2 linked regions of the Nothobranchius furzeri genome follow. The protein of the gene in region 2 interacts with the protein of the main gene of each other region in a pairwise test. Links are inferred from orthologs where the notes say so. Each region holds a gene or a part of one and is shown on either strand. Other genes may lie near its edges.

Region 1 (9,236 bases), on a different chromosome or scaffold from region 2:
TGTTGCAACATTTTGTTTTACAAAGTTTTTTGTTTGAGTAAAAGCGGCTAAAATGAGTAGTGTTATTTGGTACTAAAAGACTACATCACCCAGAATCCTTAGCTGGACGCAAACAACAGCACGTGGGCCAATATGGCGGCCCACGTTAGAGAGATGGTTTCTGAGGAGTCAAGTAGCGACGACGAAGAGCTTAGAAAGTGTCGAGAGGCAGTTTGGGACACTCAGACAAACAAAACAAAAGGTAAGTGTTTATTTTTATAATTTTTTTTGTCTCAGGGTAAGTAGTTAATACTGATAAACGTTTTAGTTAGACGAGAATACCACTTGTAGTAGTGAATTGTAGTAGTTGTTTAAGACTTGTGTAAATGAGGCATCTTTCTGAAGCAAAGGCTGACAACGATTTTATTTTATTTTTCCAGATGGAGACCGCAAAGTGAAAGACTCAAAGCGGTGAGTCGGTATTATAATGCGAATCACTACTACTACTAAACTTTATTTATATAGCGACTTCACATGGCCCAAGGACCAAACAAAGCGCTGCACAGCAGAAATTAATATAAAAAATAAAAACATAAAACCATTTAAAAACCAACAAAAACATGTAGATAAAATCTAGGTGGGGCAGCAAAGAAGTGCGCGTTAGCTTAACATGCTAAATCAGTGTGTTGCCTGTATTTAATTTTATTTAGGTGGCAGCGAGTTACAAAATAGCGGAGAACGCATCTAAATCTGCGCTGTATTTTACTGAAGAAAAATAAATATTTTGTAAGCTTCAGATGTTGCGAGGCTGCCACCGCCACGATTTGAGCTCGGCCCTGCTGATTAAATGAAGATCTGCTGCTGCTAAATGACTGCTCCGTATTTTAGCGTCTACAGAGTGAAAAACACACCAAAGCTAGAATCTTCGGTCAAAACAAACCTTAATCAGTATTAATACAGAATAGATCAAAACCATATTATGTCGATGATCAAAACACACTCACTGTGTTCATTCATACACGTGTGCATGCATATCTTTTGACTCATCTGTCATCACTTCCTATTTTTTTTCTCCTTGTGGCACAAATATGCAGGTGTACTTTTGAACAATAACATAAAGCTTAAAGGACCCAGATCATGCTATTTTAAACACGTGAGAGCAAAGGTAGGCACAATAGCGCTATTGAGATGCAATTTCATCTTAGATGCGAGTTATTTTCATCAGCCAGAGTTTGCTCCTGGAAATGAACCACTCTGAAGCTCTGCCTGTGTCCACTTCAACTACAACAGCATCTTAGTAAGTTTATTTTTATAGCACTTTCACTGACAAGTCACAAAGTGCATCACGGACAACAGTATCTTAAGGCTTTTCCTTAAAATCTTAAAACTTGCAGCTGAGACAGGAAAATGCATAAACGCTGCCAAAAAAAAGGGGTTGGGGGTATTTTTCATGAGGAATTAACTGTCACAAAGTAAAAAGCTCCAAAATGTGGATTTTCCATGATATGGTCTCTTTACTGTTTTTTTTTTTTTTTTTTTTTTTTTTTTTTTTTTGTCCTGTAACAGTATTGTTGTCGCTGCTCATGAACATGATGGCAACGAGCTCCAGGTCACCAAAGGATTTCAAACACATGTGGCTAAAAAGCTGGAACATTTTCTTGACAGGTAACTTGATAGGAAAATATGGTACTGATATTGGGAAATTTGATTTTAATCAGTGTTGTGTGATTTACAGTTGCATTTCAGAAATGAAGCCTAAAACCTTAAATTGTTTGGAAACTACAAACAGTGATGACATTGGTGATGGTAACGTTTCAGCATTTTAAGCAGATTTTGTTTTTACCCTTTAAAAATATTTTTTTAAACTTATTTATTTATTTATTTATTTATTTTCATTTAGGTTTTCATCTGTTTTCTACATCCATCCCTGGACAGAAAGCTGATAATCCTCCCGAACCAGTGAGGCGTCGGCCTGTTCCCAGCTCAAGGTTTTTCACTTTTTTATCTATTTATTTTTGAAAGATTTAATTATCAGTTTGACTTCTGTGTAACATTTCTCTGCCTCTTACAGTGACAGCGACAGTGAAATGGAAACAAGGCTGAAGGAGGCAGTGGTGTCAGTGAAAGATCTGTTGCCTTCATCAACATTTACCTCCACTGCATCCTCTTCATCATCAGAGCCTCACAACTCAGAAAAAACACAGAGAAAGAAGAAAGTTGCAAAGGAAGAAGCGAGTCATGTTGTCAGGAAAAAGAAAAAGAGGAAACAAAATGATGGAGAGAGTGAGCAAGTGGACTCTGGTGAAGATGCTCATGATGAAAGCAGCAGTGAGCACAGGAACCTGGAGCAGGAACACATGAAAATAAAACAAAACAAAAAATAAACACAAACAAAGAAACTTTGAGCTGAGATTTGACAGTAAACATTTTTGTGGGTTTTTGTTTGTGTGTTGAAGTGAGTTTTGGGATTAAAATGGCTTCAGAATAAAGAAGGGACTCATTTTGCTCGTTTCAAAAACTTAATTCTCATGAAAACTTAAAAAAAGCATTTTGGTTGCAAATTTAAAAAGAATATAAATTGCATTTATACCAGAAGTTACAAGTTTTTAATTTTACAGAATATTATTTTAATAAAAATAGATGCTGGTGTTGATCTTGTTAATCCTCTGCTGATTTCAGTAAGTCTCTTCTGTGACTACACTTGAATAAAGTTGAGACATCGTGATTATAGCCTTCTGTCTCCAGGTTTATCTGGAAAGGTACACCAGCTGTAGATGCCCGTCCCAAAACCCCATCAGGCTTTAGAGTCCAGCTGAAGGGCAGGAGACACGAAAGAGCCAGAGAAGGTTTTACTGTGCTGTGGAGACCATTTGTGAAGGCATGTAGGAGCTGATGTCTGTGGGTGAAGATGAGAGGAGGTGAGGCTGATGACGTTCTGTCTGGGAGGAAGGATACAGCTCCAGGCTCTCAGAAGCAGCTGGGAACAAAAGTTAGAAAATATGTTCATTTCAAGCTTTTGTCCAGAAAATGTTGCTGTTATAAGTATTATCACTGCAGCTAACTTGGCAGACATTTAAAAATCCATTTTGACAGAAGACCAAATGATTAAATATTCAACTAGTTTTATACACAGCAGTTAAGAGTAATTTGAAGATTTAGGATTAAAAGTTGAAACTATATGGAATTATCTTTAGTAAATAAATATTGGTAACATTTCTTTAAAGGTGCAATATGTATGAATATAATAAGAATTTTAAAGTGAGAAAATCCCAAAAGAGTAATGTTTCAGTCATTTTGGGAGGAAGGTTATGCTGAAACATTTCATATCCAGCTGGCTGTGGTGATTGTCCGCTTTTCTCCTTTCAAAGCAAAGGAAGGAGGGACGTAGCTACTGTTTACCATCAGTGAGCGTGAGGTTGTCATGTCTCTGCGAGCTAAAGCCTGATTTATACTTCTCCGTGTGCGTCGGTGCCGAGACACGCAACGCCATTACACGCCATTGGCGCAAGGGCTCTTCGACGAGCTCACAGAGGGTAATGGAGACATGCCCAAAATTTTAAACATCCGTCGAAAGTGACGGAGACCGCAAGCTTGTGACTAGTCAGGACGCCGCTTCCTGTAAATTCATTACCAGCACCGCCTTTGCCTCATTAAAAAGTAAAAAGCTATCTGGCGGCAGACCCAGAACAGATTGAAGAACGCATCGCTGAAAAAGTCCAAAAACATGAACGTTTATTCACCCGTGACTGAAGGAGTACAAAAAACATGGATGGAAATGATGGGAAACGTGGGTTTAGAGGTGGCGGAGAACGAAAGACAAATTTGTCTGTGTTATAAAGTCTCTGAAATACATAAACACATTAGTAAATACACAATCGTGGACCAGATACACGAGTGTTCTGGTGGCAGGACCACAGAAAAGGGCAACGCCCTCTTGTTATCCTAGTGGGGAATTGTTTTGCAACACTCCGCTGCCTGCACATGTGGAATTCTTTCCAATACTCCATGTGGGTGTCTCCGTTGTGGAGCTCAGAGAAGTATAAACTACTGCAGCCGACAATTGTACTTTGACGACAGCCGGCGAAAAGCTCCACAATTATGTAAAGTGGTTGCAGTAATCAAATTTAACCACAGGATGACATTTTTTACTTCAGCTCTACATACAGGTGCTGAACACAACAATAAAAAGCAAGCACATTAAAAAATACAACAAAAGATAAAAAAAATTAAACAGATTAAAAACAACAATTAAAAACAAGACAAAGTTGTAGACCCCGTGGTGAAAGTTGTTTCTTATGTGTCAAAACAACAATGGTTTAAACCTTGAGTTTAGAAACTCTTTTCATTTATAGGCCAGACTTGTATGGCTTAGTAACAAAGACTTTCTCCGGGTACAAAAAATCAGCATAAATCTAAAGACAACCTTTGAAAAACCTGCAGGAATTTCGACCAAGGCCTTTTAAACAGATGACAAGAAAAGCACAAAGAAACAAGGCCTGGGACTCTGTAAACCTTTTTTCTGTTTGTGTAAAAAAGATAACTTATTTCTTCCATAACGCCCGATTTGTATCACTTTGGTTTGTAAGCTGTTAAAACGACCCTTTCATTTATTAAACATGTCCTCTAACGCTTGTCAACAATAAACCCAAACAATAGGTATCTCTTTAACAACGGGGTAGCTTAATGTCTAATATACAGGTGCTGGCCAGTAAATTAGAATATCATCAAAAGGTTGAAAATATTTCAGTAATTCCATTCAAAACGTGAAACTTGTACATTATATTCATGCAATGCACACAGACCAATGTATTTCCAATGTTCATTACATTTAAATTTGATATTCATAAGTGACAACTAATGAAAACTCCAAATTTGGTATCTCAAAAAATTAGAATATTCTGAAAAGGCTGAATATAGAAGACACCTGCTGCCACTCTAATCAGCTGATTTACTCAAAACACCTGCAAAGGCCTTTAAAAGGTCCCTCAGTCTTGTTTTGAAGGCACCACAATCATGGGGAAGACTTCTGACTTAACAGCTGTCCAAAAGACAATCATTGACACCTTGCACAAGGAGGGCAAGACACAAAAGGTGATTGCTAAAGAAGCTGGCTGTTCGCAGAGCTCTGTGTCCAAGCACATTAACAGACAGGCGAAGGGACGGAAAAAATGTGGTAGAAAAAAGTGTACAAGCTCTAGGGATAACCGCACCCTGCAGAGAATTGTGACGACAAACCCATTCAAAAATGTGGGGGAGATCCACAAAGAGTGGACTGCAGCTGGAGTCAGCGCTTCAAGAACCACCACGAGGAGACTCATGAAAGACATGGGATTCAGGTGTCGCATTCCGTGTGTCAAGCCACTCTTGAACAAGAAACAGCGCAAGAAGCGTCTCGCCTGGGCCAAGGACAAAAAGGACTGGACTGATGCTGAGTGGTCCAAAGTTATGTTTTCTGATGAAAGCAAGTTCTGCATTTCCTTTGGAAATCAAGGACCCAGAGTCTGGAGGAAGAGCGGAGAAGCACAGAATCCACGTTGCATGAGGTCCAGTGTAAAGTTTCCACCGTCAGTGATGGTGTGGGGTGCCATGTCATCTGCCGGTGTTGGCCCACTCTGTTTCCTGAGGTCCAGGGTCAATGCAGCCGTCTACCAGGAAGTTTTAGAGCACTTCATGCTTCCTGCTGCTGACCAACTTTATGGGGATGCAGACTTCACCTTTCAACAGGACTTGGCACCTGCACACAGTGCCAAAACCACCAGCACCTGGTTCAAGGACCATGGTATCCCTGTCCTTGATTGGCCAGCAAACTCGCCTGACCTTAACCCCATAGAAAATCTATGGGGTATTGTGAAGCGGAGGATGCAATACGCTAGACCCAACAATGCAGAGGAGCTGAAGACGACTATCAGAGCAACCTGGGCTCTCATAACACCTGAGCAGTGCCACAGACTGATCGAGTCCATGCCACGCCGCATTACTGCAGTTATTGAGGCAAAAGGAGCCCCGACTAAGTATTGAGTGCTATACATGCACATTCTTTTCATGTTCATTCTTTTCAGTTGGCCAACATTAGAGAAACAAACATTTTTTCATTGGCCTTTAGAATATTCTAATTTTCTGAGATACCAGATTTGATGTTTTCATTGGTTGTCACCTATAAATATCAAAATTAAACGTAATAAACATCGGAAATACATTGGTCTGTGTGCATTGCATGAATATAATGTACAAGTTTCACGTTTTGAATGGAATTACTGAAATATTTTCAACCTTTTGATGATATTCTAATTTACTGGGCAGCACCTGTAATGTTACTGAAGAAAATGTCAAACATTAAAATTAATCCCATCATAAAGAAACTTTTAACATTTAATCTAAAATGATGTTTAATTGCTTGTAATAACTATAAAAACAATTAATGAGTGAGTAACAACTCAGGTAATCAAAGTGCCTTTTAAAAAGGCTCAGTCCTTGATTTATGTTGGGGATCTGTTGGTAATGTCTGCAACACATTCAGCAGGCCTGTATTAAGTGTGTTTTACCTGGCACAGGTGTGTGTGGCTGCAAGTGTAAAGAATCCTCCTGTATAGGTGAGTCTGTGTCTTCATCTGGATCTGCTGTTAGGATCTGAACAAAACCAAATTGAGGAAGAAGATGTGAAGATTAGATTCCTGAGACTCTGAGAGAGCAACAAACCCATCAGAACCAGTACCTGTCTGACTGCAGCCAGACTGGTGAGTGTCCCCAGACTGCTGCTGTCAGCGATGAGCATGGCCTGAGACAGCAAACTGGATGAGTGGTACTGGGGTGAGTCCAGCTTGTTATACACTATGAGGAAGAACAGGCGCCTCAGTATTCAGCTCTTGTGTTAAACTGCTGTGATGTTGTTGAGGTCTTACTGTGACATGGCAGCTGTGCCATGGTCGCCATGAAGGGGCTCTGGAGCTGCTGAGGTATCTGCTGCTGGTGGGATGTGTGGAGCTGCTGCTGGAATGAGATCGGCTGGAGGGTGGTGAAACCACCTCCCATGTTGTTTATGACAGGAACGGTCTGAGGCTGCGTGGAAGCTAAACCTGTATGTGAAACATCAGACGTCACAGTAAAAACCAAACACTAGACATAACCTGAAAAATGAAGCATCTGTGTTACCGATGAGAAGAGAAGACTCCCCGAGACTCATGACGCTGGGCACTGAGGCCATGATGAGGCTTTGTGAGGAGGCAGGGGGGGCAGACAGACTGTGCAGAGAGGTCAGAGTGCTTACTGGGGGCAGTGGGCCACTGCTGGACACCTGTAATCAAAGAAAAAGCATGGTCATGATGGCATCTTTGATGGCTGACGAAGAATACAGGAGCACATCATCTCACCAGCTTAGGGTTATGGTTCTCAAGGAGTGTGTGGCTGGGTTCCAGTTGGACGGGACTGACCACAAGATGCCCCACTCGCTCCCCTGCGCTGCTTCTCACTGAGCTAGCTGGCTCACATAATATGTGCTGACTGTATTTCACACCTGGATAATAATGACAGGTCAGGTTTCAGAGCAAATACAACAATGATGGTTAACACACACATCAGAACCAGTATAGTCAAGTACTCTCTCCACAGAAAAGCTGTTTCAGCATGACACACAAGCTTTAAATTCTGAGAAAAGGTTTCCAAATGACCCCTGCTTTTAATTTGGTCGCCTTCTTCGTTTTTACTATAGATTTAGATTTCTACTTTATAAATGTTTACATTTAACCTTTTCCTTTACAATCATCGCCTCATAGATGCGAGGGTTGCTGAGGTTTTACCATGTTCAGGACTTGGAGGAAGTGCGTGATTGGAGGAGGGAGCCGACTGGGTGGTGAAGGATGTGTCCAGGGCCAGCTTGTGGCGAAAGGCCTCCTCTTTACGGCGGTTGGCGAACCAGTTGTACACTCGGACCTCAGTAACCAGGTTGGAGCCCAGACCTGCTAGCTGGGAGGGAGATACCCCTCTCTGGAGACACTCGGCCCTGATTTGGATACAACATAAACTGATAAATGGCTTAATTTTGTGAAAAATGTTGAATTTAACAACAGTTATTTATAAAATATGTTCATTTCACATATAACATGTTTTCAGGAAAGATATAGATTAGATTAAAGTTCATCTCAACATGTGAGACTAGATCAATTTGAAGCACGTAGCATTTATAATTCAGGTATTATCTGGCCAATTTAACCCCACTGAGGTCTGATCTTTACTTGTTACACTCCTCCACCAGTCCTTCCCTTTCTTCCTTGCTGGGGTTCTTCTGTCGTTCATAGGCGTTAAAGAGGATCTGCAGGGACGCTGGACCCCACTTGAACCTGTTCCTGCGTCCTTTCTTAGTCTCCTCCCCTTGTTCTTCTGCAGGTGCTAGACCGTGCTTAGCATTGGTGAACTCTGGAGAGGAATGAAAGACGTTACCGTGACCAGTGTGTCTCCACAGCAAGAAGAGCATGCTCAACAAAAGCTTATGTACTCACGCTGGCTGATCTCACACTGCTTCTTGACGTACCAGCTGTACAGGGCGGCTCTCTTTTGGTTCTTCATGGGTGTGCCTTTATTGAGGTGCTGGGAGAGGTGGGACTGGTTGAGTCCCGTGGACTCTACCACCTCTCTCTGAGGTAGGTTGTGCTGCTGCATGTAGCTTTTCACCATTTTTGCAACATGCCAGGGGTCTTCCCTGTTCAGCAGAGGTGAAGGAACTTAATACATTTACTACATATTTGATAATTTCCAAATCTCTGGCAGAAATGGACATAAACACAAAACTTTGAAAAGCTATCGCCACCTTAGAGATTTACTTAGCATTTTTATTAAAAAACCCTTTAAAGTCTCAGATCAGCAATCGTAGTTCAGTATGAGACAAAGGTACCCTGAGTAATTACAAAATGCAATTTTCATACGATTTCATTTATTAAAGGAAAAAGCTATCCAAACCAACAGAGCCTAAACTTACTCACTGATTTCAACACTATTGGTGGCAGTGACTGCGTCTTTCAGATCTCTGGAAAATGTTTGCCCCACTCTTCTTTGCTTTGCTTAAATTCAGTCAAATCGGAGGTTTTCCAGCCCAGACGACCTATTTAAGGTCAAAAGTTATACATATCCTTTAGGGTTTTCTGGTAGAGAGCAGATTTTATGGTTTCTCCCAATCTCCAAACTTCCATTTCTATCTAAAATCATGGAGAAAAGAGCTTATGCTCAGCTTTCACTTCAAATTGAGGATCTTCATTTCCTAGAAAAAC
Region 2 (9,911 bases):
GGCGAAGTACCGAAGTCAAAACTGAGAGGAGGGTTTGAAAGTGAAGTCTGTTGCTGCGAACTACACGCCGCAAGTACTTTCTGATCACTTTTGTCAGGTTCTGGATATGGCATAACACGATCGGCTTTAACTAACTCAGCGATCACACAGTTAGTGGGTAATGTGATGTCATGGTTAGTTTCGTTTCTTAGTACAACAGGTACTTTGTATGGACCATGTGAAGGTAAGGAAATGAGGCAACAGTCTACAATTATACCCCCTGGTAGAGAACCATTGGTGGGTTGTTCAATGAGTGCATAAGGCTCATGCTTGTTTTGGCTGGGTTGCATAAACCCTTCTAGTAACAGTTTTTTATTTGCAGGGAGAACTTCTTGGGTTCTCCCTCGAAGCTTCACCACACCAACTCGTCCATCTTTGCTTTGTTTTTTTCTGACTGCTAAGGCTTTTAGCACGTGTTGGTACCCATAAGAGAGTGCCTTGGAATCAGGTAAGTTATTGGCAGACAATTGCTCATACAAAGGATCGAGTGTGTTTGTGCCAATGAGTAGTGGTGTATCAGAGTTTGAGCTTATATCCGGAACCACTAACGCAAGGGTAGGTAACTCAAGTCCAGACTGATCGAGCTCTTTTGGAAATGTGACACTTATCTCTATGTATCCTAAATAAGGAACTGCTTGACCGTTTGCGCCCTCGACTTCTAACAGATTACTGATGGGTTTAATTGAGAGGTCAGGTAAGTGTTCTTGGTAAAAAGAATTGGCAATGGTGGTTACCTGGGACCCTGAATCCAGTAAACAATTACATTCAACACTGTTAACTGAGACTGTAGCTGTGCATCGCCCACCCACTAATCTTTTGGGAAGTTTTGGCACTGAATGAGCATGAACTGGCTTGCAAAAAAGTCTCTCTGTCCTTTCCTTAGAGGGACTTGGTTCTACTTTAGCACCTATCTGTCCCACGATAGGAGCTTCTACCGGTTTAAAGGAGGAGACTGAGCAATTGGCTTTGACATCTCCCACTCGCGCTGCTTCTGTCTAAGAGCAAGTCTTTTAGTTGCAACTAGTGCTGGATTTGGCTCGTTGCTACAGCTAGAAGCTATGTGCCCATCTTCTCCGCACTTAAAACAGTATCCAGGCTTTGGTCTGGGCACCACTGCTGTTATCTGCTGAATCTGTTTGGGCTCATCTGGAATTTTAGTCCCCACACGGGGTTTTGACTCTTTTTGAGTTTTCTTTGCCTTTTTATCTGTGTTGTTAACCTTAAGCTGTGCAATTTGGCTCCTGAGCTCAGCGATTTGTTTGCGTAAGTCATCACAGTTATCATCTATTTCCAGTTCACAAGTGTTTTTACTCTGAGAGCATGTTGTTTGCACATTTGAATACACTCTAGTTCGTTGTGCCCCTAAGTGTTGTTTCATGCGTGCTGCTTTAGTAGCCTGTTTGTCTTCTTCAGTGCGCAGTTTGAGGAGAAGTGCTGTAAAATGAGGCGGGTTGTCTTTCTTTTGTTCGAGTTGCAGGTTTGAAATCAGCGAGCTGTCCCAACAGCCTCTGCAAAACTGCTTGAGCAGCTGCTGGTCGGCGTCACTGGAGGAAATTCCATTCCTCTGAATAACTAGGTTTAACAAGGTGTATAACCTCTGAAAGTAATCGGAAGGTTTTTCACCACTGTCCTGGTTTGTGTTTAAGAAGCGAGCAAAGAGCTCGTCGCCGTCTTCGACAGCTGCGTAAGCTGAATCGAGATGTTCAAGGTACGTTTCCGGGTCGGATTTTGGACTAAGAGCTTTAACGATGCTCGCTGCTGGGGCTGACAGACTCTCCACGATTCTTCGTACAATTTGGGACTTGGTGAGTGAAGGATCATTTATGCATAACACTACACTACTACGCCAAGTATCATAGTCAGTTTCAAAAGAAGGGTGTGGAACTCGCCCTGAGAACGGTTTTAGTCTGTATTGTGAAGTAGGCGGAGGGATAACCTCACTGCTTTTAACAATGTGTTCCACAATAACTCGCTGAACCTCAGGTGTGTTTAAAAGATTTGGTGGAATGCAAGGGTTTTGTTTTCCAGTCTCTGTAGGTGGACAATTGTCCTTTGAGTTGTTCATATAGTTAACTTCTGGTGTTAAAGGCAGGGAATATGTAACTTGGTCACTATGGAGCATTGGCTCTAGTTCAGTGACTGGTTCAGATGCATGGGTATCCCTTCCTAAAGATTCCCCAATTTTTGCCAGTTCCTCCATTAGAAGGTCTTTAAATGATTGATTGCTACGCGCAGCTATGTCCCTGAGCTCTGACAGATAGGCATCAGTGGCAGATGTGCTAGTTTCTAGACTGTACGCGCTGGCTAGGTCTTGAATATGGAAGAAAACATTTGGGTTCCTAGTACAAGGTTTGTCATAGGGTAAACATTGTTTCTTTAATTCCTTAACAGTGGCTTCATGTTGAAACTCCACAATAATCTGATCACAGTTTGGTAACTTAATGCGCCTGTTAACTGGTCCGAATCCTTCCATAAACCCAAAGACTTCGTTATCAAGGTCTGTATCAGTTAACCCACTGATTAAAACAGCATTTGAAACTTTGACCTTTTCTGTTTTCACAACTTCCATTTTAAAACACTCAAAAGTACCAATAATGCCAAAATGGCAAACCACTGTGACCTCCAGGCACTCTTATGATGTCAGTCAAAGGTTAGCTAAGGTAACAACTCTACAATTCTCCTGGCTGGCTCGCCAAGTTTTATGTAACCGGATTACAGGATACAATAAGATAATTAAAAGAAAAAATAAACAAATGGGCCAATAATTAGGTTCGGGGAGAATTGGAGGTTGTTTAAGAATGGCTGGAGTCACGGGTATAGCATGAAACGGTTTATATACTAAATTTTAATAATAATGGGAAATATAACACATAAAGATAACACACAAAAACAGATGAAAACAATCGACAATAGTAAAATGGTCGGTATGAGATTTGATCATATGAGTCACAAGTCAGCCGGCGTCAAGTCAAATCCCCACGCTTGGGGTGAAAGTCAGAGTCCGGTGGTGCGATTTTTTCCTACCACACCGTTGAGATTGTTCACAGAAGAGAGCAGTCTGCTCTTCAGTTACTTGAGATGTCCTGGTTCGTTCAGTGGTTAAGGCTCGCCATCTCCCTCGTCAGGAAGAAATCCAGTTCTCGTTCCAAGTGAGTGATCATAGGAGTCGGGATCAAACCCAAGGAAAAAAAAAACCCAGCCTGTAAACAACAGGACTGTTAGCGAGTTGGCATCGACCCTTCTCGTCACATCACAGCATAAAGTCTTACAGACTTAAACAAATGCTTCACTCTATTGGCATAGCCAATCATGTTTGGGTTCACAGTTCAACTAACATAACATCAATTTGATTGTCTATTAAAATAATTCTCAGTAGCTCTGGAAATATAATTACATATGACAACAATTGTTCAGCTCAATAGGCTCAGTTAGATTCTATTACTCTACACTATTCAACAAGAAATACATTCATGACAACAAGGATACATTTAGTTGTGTTTCTATACAGCATTGTGACACCTTGTATATCTGTAACACAATAAATAAATAAATAAATAAATAAATAAATAAATAAATAAAATGTTCTATAACAAAATTCAACAAAATATAAATTCTGGTCCTTTGGTCCACCTTTGTAAAATAATTCCTCCCTAATCAGTTAGCTTTTATTTATTTTTATTTATCTATTTTTTTTATTATTAAATGTTTGGTTAAGGGACGCATTGCTAATTCTATGGCGTTAGCTATAACGCCCCTGAGGACCTTGTACATCTAGGCCCTACCGCCGTTAACTGGCGGTTTGAGCCGTTAACTCCTATATGCCCTACCACCGTTAACTGGTAGTTTGAGATGTTAACTCCTGGGATCTAACGTCTAGCAGCCCACTGCTGTCACCTCGGTTGCTGTAATTAGCTTTTTGAATTTAATAATTTACTGAATTTAATCTCATTCACTCACCAACGCGCTCCAACGGTTCCCTCCTACAGAGGATTGGTTCACTCTGTCGTCTCCACACAAATCTATAAGAATGGAATTAATTTGATAAGCTATTTAAGTTTCCTTTTTTTTTTTTAAGTTGCATCGTTAGCTTTTTCTCTTCTTTTTTTCTTTACTCACCGCGTTGGTTCCAAGTTCCTAGCTCTTATTAGAAGGAGTCAAGTCCGCCTCTCCCTCTATCTATGCGGCACCCAAATCAGGGTTCTTCACGGCCTCGACCGTTGTTTTTTTTTCTCTCTCTCTCTCTCTCTAACCGCTCAGTCTTTGCTTTCTGTATCTGCGTGCTGCACAGCCGTTTGTCTCTCCTCTCGCTCAGCTGCGTCGCACGGTTTTATTTCGCGGAGGCGGGACTTATTTCTCTCAGCCAATGAAATTTCAGATTCCCACCTGGACCAATAGTATACAGCTTTCCTCTTCTGTTTCTGTTAGGGATGTTCAAGATTCTTGTTTTAACCGATGTTTAATATTAAACTCGTTATTTTAGTTATTCACCCTTCCAATAATTCATTATGAAATTATCTATTAGTTAATTAGATATCTATTAATTAGTATTGTTAATTTCCTTAATTTATATTTTATATTTTATCTAAATTGAGGATGGATCATATTAGTAAGCCAATTAGTTAATACCTCATTAAGGTTCTAGCTTCTGGGTTACATAAGCATAAGAAGAGAAAGATGTTCTCGATTTACCGGTAGATCTGCCCTCACCTATGGTCACGAGCTTTGGGTAGTGACCAAAAGAACGAGATCGCGGATACAAGCGGCCAAAATGAGTTTTCTCCGCAGGGTGTCTGGGCTCTCCCTTAGAGATAGGGTGAGAAGCTCGGTCATCCAGGAGGGGCTTGGAGTAGACCCGCTGCTCCTCCACATCAAGAGGAGCCAGTTGAGGTGGCTCGGGCATCTGGTCAGGATGCCTCCTGGTGATACCTCCGTGGTGAGGTTCTCCGGGCACGTCCAACCGGGAGGAGGCCTAAAGGGAGACCCAGGACATGCTGGAGGGTCTATGTCTCTCACCTGGCCAGGGAACGCCTTGGGATTCCCTGGAGAAGCTGGCCACTGCTGCCCCCGCTACCCAACCTCAGATAGGCAGATGAAAATGGATGGATGGATGGATGGATGGACACAGTGATCCAAATCAACATAGCTCTATGTGAACAAGTAGTTCACAAGTGAACTTAATAACTGCTTGACTTTGATTTTGAAATGTGTGCTGATCTGAAACATTTAGGTGTGGCAAAAGAAATCTGTAAACACACACACACACACACACACACTGAGTTTAGTAAGGAAGGAGTTAAGAGTAAAAACCTGATTGAAGTCTTTGAAGATAAACTCTTTGTAGATGGCATCTCGCCCCACCACCTCCACCCACTGGGCGTTGCGGAGCATCGGGAGTAGATGGGCTCTCTCCTCCTCAGTCAGACTCTGGATCTTTCCGGCCTGAGAGGACAACAGATTTCAGAGGGGCAGCTTCACAGCCACAAACTGTGATTGGCTGCACAGACTCCCATCTGGAAACAATGAGCAGCTGCATTCTGTTGTTTAAAAGCTAGCTGGTTGAGAGGTATTTAGTGGTGCGTGTGTGTGTGTGTGCGCGCGCCTGTGTGTGTGTGTGTGTGGGGGGGGGGGGGATCAAATGCTTCCTAATCTCTGTCATGTGGACTTTGAGTTATTCACTCACTCTGCTGACTCTCAGCTCAGAGGAGTTTCACATTTTAAACTCTCCCCTTCCAAGTGAACAACACGAGCAGGTTTTCCCGCCGCAGACAGGAACAAGAGCGGTGACAGCATCAGGTATCTTAGCAACGCAGTAACCTGGTTTATCAGCGGCGGGGATGTTGGTTTAGGTGCAGCGAAGCGTCCTCGTGACCGTCAGAGAATAATCAAACGTTTTTTCTTGTCTCTTAAAATAATTGTTGTACAAAGAAGTGAAAAAGTGTGCAGCCTGATTTTTTACACCAGGCTCGTGCACTCACCATGTTTGTAGTGTGTGTCCAGCTCCTGCCGCCTGTTGCACAGAGGCAAATGTGCTGTGACAGCCAGAGTGTAGCTGGAATGATCCCATCTGGGGAGGGGAGGACTGGGTCCTGCTTAGCTGCCCATGCAGGAGCCTGAGTAGAATCCCCACCCCAGCTGAAAGGCCCTTCAGCCAGCTGTTTAATCATGAACAGCCATCTGTTGCACAAGGCGCGCGGTGGGCCAGCTATCGCTGCAGGCTCTGTGACATAAAGGCCAGCTCTGTTTGCTCAGTGGAGACAGGAGGCTGAAGTTATATTAAAAACCAGCTGAGACTATAAACAACACAAAATCCTCTCTCCTACTGCTTAGTGAGAAAGAAGCTGAAAGACCAACTCCACAAGTGCGGGCCTTTAAAGAGCAAGTCACCCCCTACCAGAGTCTAACTCCACTCCCACTTCATGTTTGAAAAATGCAACAAATTCTGTTGCCTGGCAGACTGAGAGGGCGGAGCCGCTGACAAATACACACACACACTCAGGCTCACGACAGAATTGTGACATCATAAGGACCAGTTTACATCATAGCATACCTCTTAGCCAATAGCGGTGGCAGATTTAAATTCAAAGGCAGTGCAGAGTTTTTACCTGACAAAGGCACAACACTGACAGTTTTAGGCAGAATATTTAAATTTTAACTAAGATGCACTGAATTACCTAATTATTGACTACACGTGTCTGCAGCACGACTAGACACTCGTTTATTTAGTTTATCAGCAAAAAAAAGTTGATTTGGGGGTGACTTGCTCTTTAAAATAGTGGACCATTTCTCACATTTAGGGATAGAAATTAGGCGTAAGTTGAATTTGATTGTCAGATCTAATTATGAACTCCTAATGAATGACATAACAGGATTGATAGACCGATGGATGCCTTTATCTCTGTCTTTGATTGGCAGAATTAGTGTTATTAAAATGAATATACTCCCCAAAATACTATATGTTTTTCAAAATGTGCCTGTACCTCCACCAGCTGAGATTTTGGGGAAAGTTCAAAAGCTGCTTATTGAATTTATATGGAAAAATGCTAAAGCTAAGATTCGATTGTCTTTATTACACATACCACATAGTAAAGGTGGTTCAAAATGTCCTAATATAATCTGGTATTACTGGGCAACTCATTTAAGGTCAATTACATTTCATTTTGAAACAGGAGATTCCCCACAGTGGAGGGAAATGGAGTCAGAAGGTTTAAGTTTGCCATTGCCACCATCTCTGTACTCTGATCAAATTTCTGACCTAATAAAGAAAAGCAAAAACCCAGTCGTTAAAAATATGATTAATATTTGGTCGAAAATTCGGAAATATTTAAAAGAGCCTAATAATTTGTCTCTGTACACTCCAATTTGGGGTAATCAGCACTTTGCTCCAGGAAGAGCAGATACCATTTTTCAACAGTGAGCTTTAAAGGGGTTGAAGACGATATACGACCTTTATAATCCAAATTCCGATACTCTAATATATTTAAGTATAATATAAATAGAAATTATTTCTTCAAATATCTTCAACTCAGAAGCTTTGTCAGAACCAATCAAAATTAAAGCTGCAAGCAGCGTCGTTCGGCCCTCGCAGCGAAGCTGCTCGCCCTCCTTCCGCACCCCCTCCGCTCCATCCCCGACGCTCTCCAAACCCAGCTCCGCGCTTGTCCATCCTGGACGGCAGCCGGGGGCACCAGGGCACGTCTGGCAGAACAGAAAGTCAACCACCCCGACACCAGAAACCGTGAACGGCCTCCTCGTCCACACCTCACCCTGATTCAGCATCCCCTCTGAGCCCAGCATTACACGTCTCACCACTAGGAGATACTCTATCTTTACCACACTGGTGATGTGATGTTCAGTCTCTGGCAAATCGGAGGCTGTTTGTGGAAGTTACAGTCAAACGTAAGGTCACAGCGTCACGCCAGAAATCGCCATGGCATCAAAGCTCCTCCCTTTCTGAAAAGCTATCAGATCTGAATAGTCATTAGAACATCATGAAGACAGTGCATGACCTTAGTGTCATGTTGACTAAATTAGAGGGGACAAATATGGGCATTTCACCATAAAACAGAAGACTTCCTGTAGTCAGGGGGCGGGGCTTAGGTGATGCCAGCTGTCCACATTGTCACTGTCTTCAGATGTGGTCAGTGATCACATGGACAAAGTTTGAAATTGATCTGATCATGCACAAGGGAGTTATTGAGTCAAGTAACGTAATGGCGACTGGTCAAAGTTTGAGGCTTAGCCACGCCCACACCTTTATACTTATTTAAAATCCGACGGTTGAATCTTTTCCTCTATGTCTTAAGAGTATATAGCAAGAGTTTGAAGGTGATCGGTGGAAAGGGCGACGAGACATCATTCTCCTAATAACGTGTGCGAAAACCACTAAATCGAGTACTTGGACCAAAATGGCCGACCTCCTGTGCGACATTGCGCTTGGCTCCAAGAGACTTTTTTGTAGGTCCTGAGACACTACATTAGTGTGCCAAATTTCGTGATCCTCAGTCAAAGCACGGCTTGGGGCTGACAGTTTTAATGGTCCTAGGGGGCGCTATTTCAGAAAATAGGCCACGCCCACAAACTTCAGCTGTCCAATTCTATTAGGGGTCAGAGTAGGATCACTCATCAGAAATTGTGTGGCGATGTCACAATGATTGAAGAAATGAGAGACAAACGTATTTCCATGGCGTGATGGCGAATTTCGCCATGCTCCCAAAGCCCCGCCTTTATTCGAAAGCTGCCAGTACTATAGACCAAGTGACCTCAACTTGTCTGCTGCTATTTGCCAGTGATTGCTGGTGATTGGTTAAAAGGAGTCCAATAGGGAGCTGTGAAAAAAAGAGTGGCGTGGCGACAGGTCAAAGTTTGAGGCTTAGCCACGCCCACACCTTTATACTTATTTAAAATCCGTAGGTTGAATTTTTTCCCCTTTGTCTTAAGAGTCTATAGCAGAAGTTTGAAGGTGATTGGTGAAAAGGGCAATGGTGTAACACTCTCCAAACAACGTGTGCGAAAACCACTAAATCGACTACTTGGACCAAAATGGCCGACTTCCTGTGCGACTTTGCACTTGGCTCCAAGAGACTTTTTTGTAGGACCGGAGACACCACATTAGTGTACCAGATTTCGTACTCCTCAGTCAAAGCATGGCTAGGGGCTGACAGTTTTAATGGTCCTAGAGGGCGCCATTTCAGAAAATAGGCCACGCCCACAAACTACAGCTGTCCAAATCTATTGGGGGTCAGACTAGGATCACTCACCAGACATTTTGTGGTGATGGCACGATAATTGAAGAAATGAGAGGCAAACGTATTGCCATGGCGTGATGGTGAATTTTGCCATGCTCCCAAAGCCCCGCCTTTTTTCAAAACCTGCCAGTACTGGAGACTAAGTGACCTCAACTTGTCAGCTGCTATTCGCCAGAGATTGCTGGCGATTGGGTAAAAGGAGTCCAATAGGTAGCTGTGAAAAAAAGAGTGGCGTGGTGACAGGTCAAAGTTTGAGGCTTAGCCACGCCCACACCTTTATACTTATTTAAAATCCGACGGTTGAATTTTTTCCTTTATGTCTTAAGAGTCTATAGCAGAAGTTTGAAGGCGATTGGTGAAAAGGGCGATGGAGCATCACTCTCCAAACAACGTGTGCGAAAACCACTAAATCGAGTACTTGGACCAAAATGGCCGACTTCCTGTGCGACTTTGCACTTGGCTCCAAGAGACTTTTTTGTAGGTCCTGAGACACCACATTAGTGTGCCAAATTTCATAATCCTCAGTCAAAGCATGACTTGGGGCTGACAGTTTTAATGGTCCTAGGGGGCGCTATTTCAGAAAATAGGCCACGCCCACCGGATGTTCACATCACATTTTGTGGGGGG

The links.
Region 1: the proteins of pcbd1 (region 2) and hnf1a interact in binary tests that used the Homo sapiens proteins (3 or more experiments, as listed by UniProt). The link is inferred for Nothobranchius furzeri from reciprocal best matches to the Homo sapiens genes PCBD1 and HNF1A.

The regions. Positions count from the first base shown.
Region 1 is NC_091757.1:33,385,900-33,395,135, forward strand, and holds the end of hnf1a (hepatocyte nuclear factor 1-alpha), read right to left. Parts: intron 8,672-9,236; coding exon 8,472-8,671; intron 8,389-8,471; coding exon 8,208-8,388; intron 7,976-8,207; coding exon 7,773-7,975; intron 7,490-7,772; coding exon 7,347-7,489; intron 7,271-7,346; coding exon 7,129-7,270; intron 7,053-7,128; coding exon 6,879-7,052; intron 6,808-6,878; coding exon 6,692-6,807; intron 6,607-6,691; coding exon 6,522-6,606; intron 2,957-6,521; coding exon 2,829-2,956; 3' UTR 2,480-2,828; downstream 1-2,479. Other genes in the region: c17h12orf43 (protein CUSTOS), read left to right, coding at 133-241, 420-450, 1,546-1,644, 1,715-1,785, 1,880-1,967, 2,051-2,363. UniProt on the Homo sapiens protein: Transcriptional activator that regulates the tissue specific expression of multiple genes, especially in pancreatic islet cells and in liver. Binds to the inverted palindrome 5'-GTTAATNATTAAC-3'.
Region 2 is NC_091752.1:6,173,360-6,183,270, reverse strand, and holds the start of pcbd1 (pterin-4-alpha-carbinolamine dehydratase), read right to left. Parts: upstream 6,499-9,911; 5' UTR 6,204-6,498; coding exon 6,015-6,203; intron 5,479-6,014; coding exon 5,347-5,478; intron 1-5,346. UniProt on the Homo sapiens protein: Involved in tetrahydrobiopterin biosynthesis. Seems to both prevent the formation of 7-pterins and accelerate the formation of quinonoid-BH2. Coactivator for HNF1A-dependent transcription.